Pelodiscus sinensis: one gene and its partners. The protein of the gene in region 2 interacts with the protein of the main gene of each other region in a pairwise test. Links are inferred from orthologs where the notes say so. Each region holds a gene or a part of one and is shown on either strand. Other genes may lie near its edges.

Region 1 (3,742 bases), about 200 Mb from region 2:
TGGTCAATAAAGGAAGGCTTCCTCAGTCCCAGATTGGGCCGAGTCCAGGAGCTATCCCCTGCGGCGGCTCTGCAGTTTAAATGTGGTAAGAGCCAGGCGTGCAAGTAGCCCAGCTCCTGGTACATTTGAACTGCAGAGGTACAGCAGGGATAGATTCTGGCCCTAGCACCAGCCGAGACTGAGCAAGCCCGGCTCAGCCCTAACACGCACCAGGTCCCGGATCTAACTGCGCTGCGCCTCTGCAGTTTAAATGTAGTAAGAGCTTGGCATGCTGGGACCCCCCCTCCCCACACACACACACAGGGGCTGTTGCTGGAGCAGTTTCTGCCCATGTTGGGCCTGGGCCTGGGCCTGCTGCAGGCAGAGGCTGCTCCACAACAGTATCCCCTCTTCCTTCTCCCTCACCTGCCATGCTGCTGCCTCTAGTAGAGGCAGCAGCATGGGAGGGGGAGGGTTGGGCAGCACCACGGAGACAGTGCTGGTGGGAACCAGCTTTTAAGTCAGCTCTCCCCAGCACCGCCTCCTACTTCCTCACCCCCTTTGCTGCCTCTGATATAGAGGCAGCAAGTGGGGGGGCAGGGAGTGAGTAGTCGAGTGGACTACTCCATAAGCCTAAGATTACTGGATAGTCAACTACTCACTCACATCCCTGACTTGCACTCCACCTAACCTGCCACCAAAGGACCTTTTGGCAGATCACTGTGTGATCTAGGCCCAGATTTTTTAAAGACATTTAAGCTTTGCAATGTCTGATTTGAGACCTTAGAGCTAATTTTAAATGAAATGTAGGCATTTAGCAGTATACTCCTATTGACTGAGTGGTTCCTACACGTCAAACTCCTGTACGAAAAGTATAAGAGCAAACAGTCACATTTAGCACTGTCACGTCTCTTTAGCTATTAATAAACCTAAAAGTATCTTTAAAATATTGGCATGGAAGAGTAATACCATCTGTTTGACTAAGTCTGCTAGCAATCACACCTACTTATTTTCATAGGCTTACAATATTAGATAAGAGTTCACATACAAAACTTTTGTTTATACTGTTTACAACATCCTCCAAAACCATCAGAGGGCATAAGGAGAATGTTTATAGAGAGTTGAGACAAAGACAAATAATCTGTTTTTGGATGGAACATTACTTAAAATGACCTCTAAATGCTATCAACTGACATTACTCCATAAACAACAAGTCCTGTGGCACCTTACAGACGAACAGATTTATTGGAGCATAAGTTTTCATAGGCAAAGACCCATTTGTCAGATGCAACTGACGAAAATGCATCTGACAAAGTGGGTCTTTGACCACAAAAGCTTATGCTCTAATAAATATGTTAATCTATAAGGTGCCAGGGGACTTCTAATTCTTTATGCAGATTCAGAATAACATGGCAACCCCTCTGATACTTGACATTACTCCAGCACTTGTCCACTATACTGGAAGGATGTGGGGGGAAGAGGTGGCAATGAGGAGTGAAGACACAAACAAACACAAGATGCCAGCAAGTCAGAATTGGACAGAGTCGGACCAGGCGCAGTTTCTTAGGGGTGAACTGAAGCTCAAGAACAGCAGACCGTGACGGGAATCATTTATTCCAAGTCTGAGCCGTTTGCCACCAGTAGCTTAGCCACCAGTAGCGAGCCCCGCGTTGGCACGGATGGTGCAGCTCCGCCAGGCAGTGAGCGATGCTCTACGGAGCCATGTGCATTGCGGAGTCTCCCACGGGGCCTTGCAGGGCTGTGCCCGCAGCGCGAGGCGCTCACCGGAGGAGCGGGCAGCGACGGGACGCTCTGACCCTGTCCCCTCAGTCACCCGGGCCGGGAGCAGACAAGCGCGCCGCTCGCGGGGCCTCTCGCCGCCCCGCACGCACTCGGGGGTGGGATCCCCGCGCTGCCCCCCGGCGGGGCGGACCCTCCCCCTGGGCGTCCCGAAGCGGCGACCGGGCGCTTCGCCCGGCAGAGCCCCGGGGCCAGGGAAGCTGCGGCCTCTTCCCTCAGCGCAGCCGCCCCCGCCCAGCCCGGCCCCCAGGCCAAGGCAGCCGCAGCCAGCGCCCTCCGCCCCCGCGGCCCCGCCACCCGCCCAGCAGCCGCCCAAGCCGGGGGCGGAGAACGGGCGGCGGCGGCGCGAGCCAGAGCGCGCCCGGCGGCGCGAGCCCAGCAGCGCGGCGGCCTCACCTCGGGGTGCAGGATGGGGACGCAGCCCGCTTCTTTCTCGTACTCATCCAGAGGCGCCGCCATCTTGGTGCGAGCCCGCCGCCCGCTGCATGCTGGGTAGCGCTCCCCCCGCGCTGGGCAGAGCGAGGGGGAGGCCCGGCGGGGATTAGGGGGCGGGGCAGCCGCAAGGGGGATGCTGCGCGGGAGGGGCCGGGACAGACTCACTGTCACGGGAGCGCAGTTGGTGACCCCGGCCTCGCACGCGCCCCCGCAAGCTCGGGACCCCGGGGGTGGGGGCTGCTGGGGAACGCGCCCCGCAAGGACCCGCCCGGTCCGCGCCCTGCGGCCCCCACCCCCGCCCCCGCAGCAGCGGGACTGAGCGGGAGGGGGACTCTCGCCTCGTGCGTGCAGGGTCTGGGGAGCCCAGCGGCAGGGGCACGAGCAGGGGCGCGGCCTGTGCCAGGGCAGGGCAGTGTCGCAGCGAATTAGATTGTGTCTATACTGCGAGGAGAGGTCGATTTAGGCAAGGTCGACTTACAGCCACCGGGGAGCCATGCGCAGTGCTGGAGTCAGTGGGCAGCGGGAAACTGACAAGAAAGACCATCCACAGTCACCCAATGGGACCGTGTGTACACAATCCGTGCATGCCCCACACTACAGCCACTTATGCCTCTGGCTGAGCTGGTTTTATTATAGCAGCGGAACAGAGAATTACATCCGCAGAAGGAGAATCTCAGTGCTGAGTCTAGACTGGCAAGTTTTTCCGCAAAAGCAGCCACTTTTATGGAAAAACTTGCCAGTTGTCTACACTGGCCGCTTGCATTTCCACAAGAACACTGACGATCTCATGTAAAATTGTCAGTGTTCTTGCGGAAATGTTATGCTGCTCCCTTTCGGGCAAAAGTCCTCTTACGCAAATGCTTTTGCGCAAGAGGGCCAGTGTAGACAACGCGGTATTGTTTTGCGCAAAAAAGCCCCGATCGTGAAAATGGCGATCGGGGCTTTTTTGCGCAAAACCGTGTCTAGATTGGCACGGACGCTTTTCCGCAAAAAGTGCTTTTGCACAGAAGCGTCTGTGCCAATCTAGACATTCTTTTCCGCAAATGCTTTTAATGGAAAAACTTTTCCGTTACAAGCATTTGCGGAAAATCATGCCAGTCTAGACGTAGCCAGTGTGTACTTCTCCACTGTTTTGCCCACAAAATAGTGTAGTATTAGAGTAATGTTCTAATACTTCCTCACAGCCTGATAGGGCTGAGGGATGGGGAAACAATTGTACAGTATTGCAGGCCTACACTTATGCCCCCGACCCCTCCCCCCTGACACACACACACACACACACACACACACACACACACACACACACACACACACACACACACACTTCCCCATTTTGTAGTCTCTGTGTAACTAAAACAAAATGAGAGTTGGAGCACAATGAATATGTAATACCAGGGCTTCAAATTTCTCTCTGGGGACTGGCAACCTGGTCAAACACCCAATATTGTAACTGGCATGCATGTTGGCATTCTCAGCATACCAACCAAGCACTGAAGAGGTGCAAGATGTTGACTTTCTCCTCTCAGCC
Region 2 (3,742 bases):
GGACCACACACAAGCGAGAAGCAAAAGGAAAAACCCTCAATGACTTGGCCCAAACTGTGAAGGAGAAAGACATTCCCCTCACACACCAGAGCCTAGGGGGCCCAGGCTAGTAGATTGTGTGTGCTACAGCCCCACCTGGAGACCGCAGGAGGACTGGAGTACCTGGGGGCCCCAATTCTGACCGTCACAGGGCTGATGGGGTCTATCCACACAGTCCTAGCAATGAGACTGGGCGTTCTCTTTCTCCCCCCCCCCCCCATCTGTTGTTGGGTTTTAGCACCTTATTATTATTATTACACCTTCGTGCAGCGTGCTGATCCCTGGACAGAAAACACAGAGTGCCACTCATTCCATTGTGTAGGGGACAAGCATGTCCTGAGCAGAGAGCTGCTGTCTCAGGTACACCGCGTTCCCCTTCCTATCGCGGCTGCTAATTTGAGGGAGGAGGGGGAGAAGGGGTGGCTACGGCTAGAACAAGGTGTCTGCTCATGTTTAACGCAGCAACCCGTACCCAAAGTCAGACATCCCGCGCCGACTGCACGAACGACTGTGCGAATGCGGGGGGACTGTTCAAACTTCTACTACAAAAAATACAACCGCGGAAAGTTTTCCATTTGCTTTTCAATCTCAACCCCAAAGGGTTTCACTTCAATCCAGGGTAACCAGCCCGCTCGCCCGAGGGTCCCACGCAGCCTTTTGTTTGGCCCGCCCGAGTGTCTCGCACGTACGAGGCGGTGTGTTCCTGTGCACGGAGGAGCCCCCTTAGCAAGCTCAGTGGCCCGGCGGCTCTGGGAGGGAGCTGCTGCGGCGCTAGGGAGCAGTGTGGGGAGGCCGGGCCGGCGGCGGCGGCTGCAGCAACAGCAGCCGCAGGAATAGCAATTGTAACAGTAATCGAGCAGCAGCCGCGCTGCTCGCAGTTGCAGGGCAAGCCGGCCGGCCGCCTCCCCCTCTGGCTCGCTCGGTGCCGTTGCCCTTTTGAATGCCTCCTGCGGCTCCGAGTGCTGGCAGGGCGCTGGGAGTGTGAGTGAATGTAGCCCCGCAGAGCCAATGAGCTGGGACCGGATGCGATATATCCTCTGGGACAACAACTGCTCTGTTCCTCCTCAGATCCACATGACGCCATTTACTGCTGCCTTTGCCGAGCGCTCACCCTGCCTCCTCCGGAAAGGAAAAGAGAGAGAGAGAGGGAGCGTGAGCGAGCAGAAAAACGCCAAGCCCCTGCCGCTCAGATCTCAAATCTGCCTCCTCCTCCTCCTCCCAACACACCACAACAGGCACCACCACAGACCCGCTGCGCTTCCAAAACACCCCCCTCCCCATTACAAACCCCAGCGCTGCCTGCAAGACTCACGCTCCCAGAGTGAGCGAGCGAGCAAGCTAGAGAGGGGCGCTTGCAGCCAGCAGCTGCCCTGCAGAACGGCTACATTGCACAGGCTGCTTTCCTGGAGGAGCCCAGTGGACGAAAGCTTTGGGATTTTCTTTTAGATCCACTTTATTTTGGTTGCTTTGGCTTTTCCTTTCCCGCCCGCCCCGTGATCATTTGCAACAACAAGGAAAGTGACTTGGTACTGGCGATTCGGCCTCCTGTCCATTGAGGAGGGGGAAAAAAAGAGGAAATAGCGAATGAGTGATTTCTTCTTTTTAGGGGCTAAGAAATACCCCTCCGACCTGGAGACATTTCCCAGAGGTTTATACTTATAATCGACCTGGGGACAGAGAGCTCACTTTGCTCTGGATTTTTGAGAGGATGGTGATGATGGACTAAAGCTGAGCTTGGAAAAGTTTTTTTGTTTGTTTTTGCTTTAGGCTGGATTTACTTGCAAGCTGCAGGAAGAAGAAAACACGAGAGAGAGCGAGGGGCTTGGTACAGTGCCGCGATCACGGTGAGAACATTTTCCTTCTTTGCAAAACAAGTCTTTTTTTTTAATAGTCCGAAGAGCTGGTGGAAATGTATGTTTAAGGCCGATCCCTTTTCAGTCCCTGAACCCGGCCCCTCACGCCCTTCCCCAGGATTTGGAAGTGGAATTTCAGCGAGATTTCTTTCTTAGGGAAGTTTGGCGGGGGGGAGGGAGCATGGGATAGTTTCTCAGGATTGATCACGTTTGTTTTCCCTCAAAATGATTTTGCAGGGAGGGGGCCCCCCAGCTCCGCGCCATTGGGGAGTGGGTGAGAGCTTAGGGGGCGGAAATCTGTGCTCAGGTTTGTGCATTTGCAGGGAGCAATGTCTGCGAAATATTGCAAGCACTGGAAGCAACTCGTGTGACTTCTTTGCATACTTATATTTTCTTACAATTACTGCAACATGCTCCTGTAAGGTGGAGACGGGGAAGTCCTGGTAAATCCTGGCTCAAAGCATTACATAGGGTTTTTTGGGGGGAGGGAGGGAACAGCATGATGGGGGGGATATTTTATAGACTTTAACCTGCTTGGTGACTTGCTATCTCTGTGTACATTAAAGGCTGGCATTATTCTGTAAGTGCATGGGGAGATTTGTGCAATTCGGAAGTGACCTCACGCCTGCTATAAATGTTTTCCATGCGATACAATTAAATAGATTGTCGATCTGACAGGGAGGAGATCCTCCCCAGGTTTCAATATATGGTGTGCAGGTATGAAGCAATATGAGAGGAGGCAGGGCAAAGAAAGGTTTAAAATTTACTTTGCAATAGCCTCTGCAAGCTGCTGGGGTTTGCAGCAAGCTATGTGTGTGTCAATTTGCCCCACCCCGATGGAGAAGTCCCTTTTGCCCTAATCCATAATCTGATCACACACTCAGCCCTTCATGGGGGTTTCAAAGCACTTTCAAAGAGGAGGAGGTGGTTGGTGCGTGTGCGGTGGGGGTGTGCTGCGAAGGCTTCCGACGCAAAACTGAAATTCATGGGCAGAGAACTTTTTCCCCCTTAGGCTTCCCTTCTTCTCCCAGCCAACACGACCTGGGTTTTTCCACAGCACACAGGGAGCACTTTGCGTTTTAAACTTCCCCAAGCGTGCAGAGGAGAAAAGCCAACCCCTTTCCCCAGTCCGAGTTAGCAAATCAGGGCATTTCTGCTCTGAGTGGACTTCGGCTTTTGCAAGTGGTGAATCGCGTTATCTCAAGGGGGGAAAAAAGGAGCAAATGTTTCTCTTGCTATGCTCTTATTCGGTAGGTGGAAAAAAAAAGAGGGTGGGTGGGAAGGAGGGGAGGGGAGCATTGAGATTAGACGGGAAAGTCTTGTTTCCCTGAAAGAACTACAGGCAAAACATACGTGAAAGGAGAGTCTCAGAATGTTAGTCTGTGTCCGCAAAAAGGCGTCCCGTGGCACCTTAAAAACTACCAGATTTATTGGGGCATAAGCTTTAGAGTGGTTTTTAACCATGAAATCTTACGCCCAGTCTTTAAGGTGCCACAGGGACTCCTCGTTGTTTTTGAAATAAGAGTCTTAAGTGCTGCAGGTCTGCATCTTGCCCTGTTAACGGATCTGTGCAGTGCAATAAAACTCAAGGGCTTGTTTGTTATGATACAAATACAGAGGGGGGCCACTTTGTAATCCCTCATCTGGGGATCTGGTTGAAATTTACGCAAATTGCATACAATAAGCAAAATAGTAGCTGCCCTGGCGAAGTTTCCTGCAGCTGACTCCCTCCAGTTGGAGCTGGTGCTTGAAGGGGAAACCTGCAATTTACTAAGCTACTCTGGAGGTGTTCTCTCAAATGAGAAGTTTCGTAGGAACTGGAAGGTTTATATAACTCAGACGCCTCCGGC
Region 3 (3,742 bases), on a different chromosome or scaffold from region 2:
ATTTATATTTGGTCTTACCGTGGTTGTGTGTCTTACGTTTTCACGTTTCTCTCTCCCACTGCCATCTGCGAGAGACACAGACGCAGCCTGTGGGCTTGGCTGGTTTCCAATCTCAACTCCGGTCTGGCTGGCTCAGGTGGGGACTGGGGCGTTTTCCCGCTAGGGCAGGGTGGACCTGATCCAGCGTTCCAGGCAAGTTGATCTGGCTGCTCCCCTGGGCCCCAGGCCAGTCAGGTCCTGTGGGAGGAGTGCAAAGTCTCCTCCGTCTCCCCCCCCCCCCCCCCGCCCTGCAATGGGTGCTGCTCCTGGCATGGTGGAGGAGACTTGTCGTGCTCCCCAAGCCCTAATTGGCCTGGGGGGGAGGGACGCAAAGTCTCCCGCCCTGCAAGGGGCTCAGCGCTTGGCTGCTGCTCAGCGGGCGGGTGACTCTAAGCTGGTGCTCCCTTGCAGGGCAGGGGCAGAGAATGAGACCTCATGTGTTGACCTGGGGCCAGCAGGCGGGAGCACGCAAAGCCGCCTCCTGCTGCCAGGGGCACTTAGAGGGAACTGCCAGCTATTCTGAACAGCTGGTTGTTTTTCCTGGGGTGGGGGAGGCAGAGACTTTGCATGCTCCCCCACCCCCAGCCCAGTCGGGGTCTTTGTGTGGAGAAGTGTCTTGGCCGAGGCCCCACCCTTTCCAGGGCAGCCGGGGGCCACTTCATCCTTTTCTGAAGGGACCTCTGGTCAAAAATGACTGGCCACACCTGCTCTGCGGAGTGCCAGCTCTGATCCAGCCCTGCAGCAGGGGCCTGGCTGGCTCGGGGGGCCGGAATGGGGCTGGGGCCTTTCTAGAGGTGAGTGGCAACTGGGTGGGGAACCGGCTGACTTGGAAGTGGGGAATGGGCTATGGGTCCTTTCTGCGCAGGGGAGCACTGGCTCTGAGCAGGGCCGCAGGGCCTTTCCCCTTTAGGGGGGTGATCCAAGAATGGGGGGCTGGCTGCCTGGGGGGGGGGGAGCAGGACAGGGGCCTCTGGCTCAGAGCTGGGGCGGGTGGGGGAGCTGGGCTGTTTGCAAGTGAAAGTGTCGGTGTGAAAGAGGAACCCGGGGGTCTGGTCACACTCTCCTTGCGTCACCTCCGGTGGGGGAGCAGTGCCGGCGGGTGAGGTAAGACTCCACCCGCAGCTGCTCAGAGACCCCTGTGTCGGTGGCGCTGGGGGGCATTGGGGGGGTGAACCCCCCTGAAATGAGTGCACCCAGCGCTGAAGAGCCTCCTTTTCCCTGCACGGGGAGGGGAGGGGGGAGTGGGAAGCAGAGCTAGAGAAGTGATGATTCCCCTTTCTTGGGCTCCGGCGCGACCACAGCTGGAGTGTTGGGTCCGGGTCCGGGCCCCCCGCTGCACAAAGGACGTGGGCGCCTTGGAGAGGGGCCTGCGGCGGGCGCCCGAAGTGATGCAGGGGCTGGAGCACTTGACCTACGAGGTGAGGCTGAGGGATTGGGGCTTGTTCAGGCTGCGGCAGAGCAGAGCGAGGGGGGATCCGAGAGCAGCCTCCAGCTCCCTGCAGGGGGGTCCCGAGAGGCTGTTCTCAGGGGGGCAGGGGGAGGAGCGATGGGCTCCCCTTGCACTGGGGGAGGTGTGGGGGGGAGATTAGGACCAACTTTCCCTAGGGGGTGGGGAAGCGCTGGGCTGGGTTCCCCGGGGGGGGGTGTCTCCATCCCTAGGGGTGTTTCAGTCCCGGCCTCACGAAGCCCTGGCTGGGATGGGGAGTTGGGGGGGGGGGGGGAGAGAGCCAGGACTCGGGTTCTTGTCCCAGTTCTTGCAGGGCAGCGAGCTCTTGCTTCCCCCCGCCCCCCCCCCCCAATGCTTTCCAAGCCCGTGGGGCGGGGCTGCTTCCCCGTGGCCGCCAGGGGGCGCTCGGTGCATTCCCACAGGCTGTCGCGGGCAGGAGGGGGGAGCAGCCCCCCCCCCCCCGGGCCGGCGAGGTGCTGGGAACAGGGAAGTGGGAAGTGGGTCTGCCTAGCGGAAAAGACCCGGCCTGTTACGTAGCTGAAGCAGGTGGAGGGGGGGGCCGATCCCAGGCTCCTAGGTGGCGCCCCCCCCCCAGCCTGCGCGCCCCACATGGCTTGGGTCAGGGAGCAGACAAGGTGCAAGGGGCCTTTCTGCGGGGGGGGGGGGGGGATGGGGCACTGGGGACCTGCCCTGCTGGAGGGGGTGGGTTCGACTCCAGCCCCAGGCGGTGGGGAGGGGTGCGCGGGGGAGGGGGGAAGCAGGTCCCCCCCAGCCTGAGGTCCCTTTGCCCCCACCTGTCCCAGCCGGGGAAGGCTGGCTCAGCTCCAGGGCCGTCAGAGGCCAGGGAGACGGGCCAAGCCAACTGAGGCGTCCCCGCCCCATCTCCCTTCCCGGAGCTGGGGGGAGGGCCCAGGAGTCCTGGCGCTCAGTCCCCCCCCCGGCCCCCCCCAGCCGGGCGAGAACCCGGGACCCCATGGTCTGCCGGGGCACTAGGACCCCGGGGGGCGGGGCCGGGGCGGGGCCGGGGCTGTCAGGCGCTGCAGGGCATGGAGCGGCTCAGACCCGGCGGATGGCGCAGGAGGCAGGACACAGCGGAGGGCAGCCGCCCCGGGCCGAGCAGGTAACGCGGATCCCCGGGCCCCTCCCGCGCCACGGCGGGACCCCTGGGCCTGCAGCGGGGCACCCGGCCAGGCGCTTCCAGGACTCCTGGGTCCGGCCTGAGCTCCGAGAGGGGAGGGGGGCAGGTGGGGTGGCTGAGCCAGGACTCAGGAGGTCTGAGCTCCAGGGGGGGCTGGGGGGAGCAGGGGGCCAGGACTCGGGGGCTGGTCCCAGCTGGGCCCCCGTGGTTCTGGGGTGCAGGAGCTGGAGCGGATTCAGCACGGGAGAAGTTTTTCCATTCCCATCCCTGCTGTTAACCCCTTCCTGCCCTTCCACCGCAGCCTGCCCCCTCCCAGCCACCCCCACCAGACCCATCTTGCCCTGGGCCGGCCCCTGCGCTGGGGCTGGGACCCCCAGAATTGGGCAGCGTCTCGCCCTGGAGGGACCGGCACAGTCGGAGGTAGCATCGCCTGCCAGCCAGGCTGGGCTTGGGTCTGGGAGGGGTCACACCCATGCTTCAGGGCATCCCTCTGCCGGGATCAGGCAGCACATGGGTGTGGGGCACCCGCTGGGCCCATGGGTCTGAATGAAGGAGGGTGGGAGCCAGGACTCCTGGGTTCTCTCCCCAGTGCTGGGAGTGGAGTGAGGTCCAGTGGGTTGGGGGGGGGGGCTGACGGGGTAGGGAGCCAGGACTCCTGGGTTCTGTCCCAGCTCTGCAAGGGGCGTGGGATCTAGTGGTTAGAGCAGGGGTGCCCAAAGCCAGAGGTGTTTTTCTCTCTCTCCCGGAGGACTGACAGCCATACATGGCAGTGGGCGGTGGCCTTGGGTCAAGGGCAGAGCCGGTTCTAATCTCACGGCCAGGCCTGACCCACGCATCTTATCTCTGCTTCACCTTGGACACTCGCCTCTGAAGGGGGAGGGAGCACGAGGAGGCACCAGCCTAGGAAATCAGCTACTGTGGGTGGGGAGCTAACCAGGGGCAATAAGTGCATCGTGGTCATGGCTGGCCCAATGCCCCAGGGTGGCACTAGGGGGCGCTGTGGGGCAGGGAGCAGGGCAGGCCCCAGCAGGGGGTGCTCTCCCCTGGCAGGCAGGGCTGGCCCAGTGCCCCAGGGAGGCGCTAGAGGGCGCTGTGGGGCAGGGAGCAGGGCAGGCCCC

What was found.
Region 1: the proteins of SPRY2 (region 2) and ZDHHC17 interact in binary tests that used the Homo sapiens proteins (3 or more experiments, as listed by UniProt). The link is inferred for Pelodiscus sinensis from reciprocal best matches to the Homo sapiens genes SPRY2 and ZDHHC17.
Region 3: the proteins of SPRY2 (region 2) and HSD3B7 interact in binary tests that used the Homo sapiens proteins (3 or more experiments, as listed by UniProt). The two-hybrid records come from large-scale screens. The link is inferred for Pelodiscus sinensis from reciprocal best matches to the Homo sapiens genes SPRY2 and HSD3B7.

What each region holds. Positions count from the first base shown.
Region 1 is NC_134711.1:68,473,896-68,477,637, reverse strand, and holds the start of ZDHHC17 (palmitoyltransferase ZDHHC17), read right to left. Parts: upstream 2,333-3,742; 5' UTR 2,239-2,332; coding exon 2,176-2,238; intron 1-2,175. UniProt on the Homo sapiens protein: Palmitoyltransferase that catalyzes the addition of palmitate onto various protein substrates and is involved in a variety of cellular processes.
Region 2 is NC_134711.1:264,026,902-264,030,643, forward strand, and holds the start of SPRY2 (protein sprouty homolog 2), read left to right. Parts: upstream 1-1,131; 5' UTR 1,132-1,883; intron 1,884-2,446; exon of another isoform or gene 2,447-3,142; intron 3,143-3,209; exon of another isoform or gene 3,210-3,742.
Region 3 is NC_134714.1:133,976,748-133,980,489, reverse strand, and holds the start of HSD3B7 (3 beta-hydroxysteroid dehydrogenase type 7), read left to right. Parts: upstream 1-1,289; 5' UTR 1,290-1,304; coding exon 1,305-1,457; intron 1,458-2,264; exon of another isoform or gene 2,265-2,459; coding exon of another isoform or gene 2,460-2,606; intron 2,607-3,742. UniProt on the Homo sapiens protein: The 3-beta-HSD enzymatic system plays a crucial role in the biosynthesis of all classes of hormonal steroids. HSD VII is active against four 7-alpha-hydroxylated sterols. Does not metabolize several different C(19/21) steroids as substrates.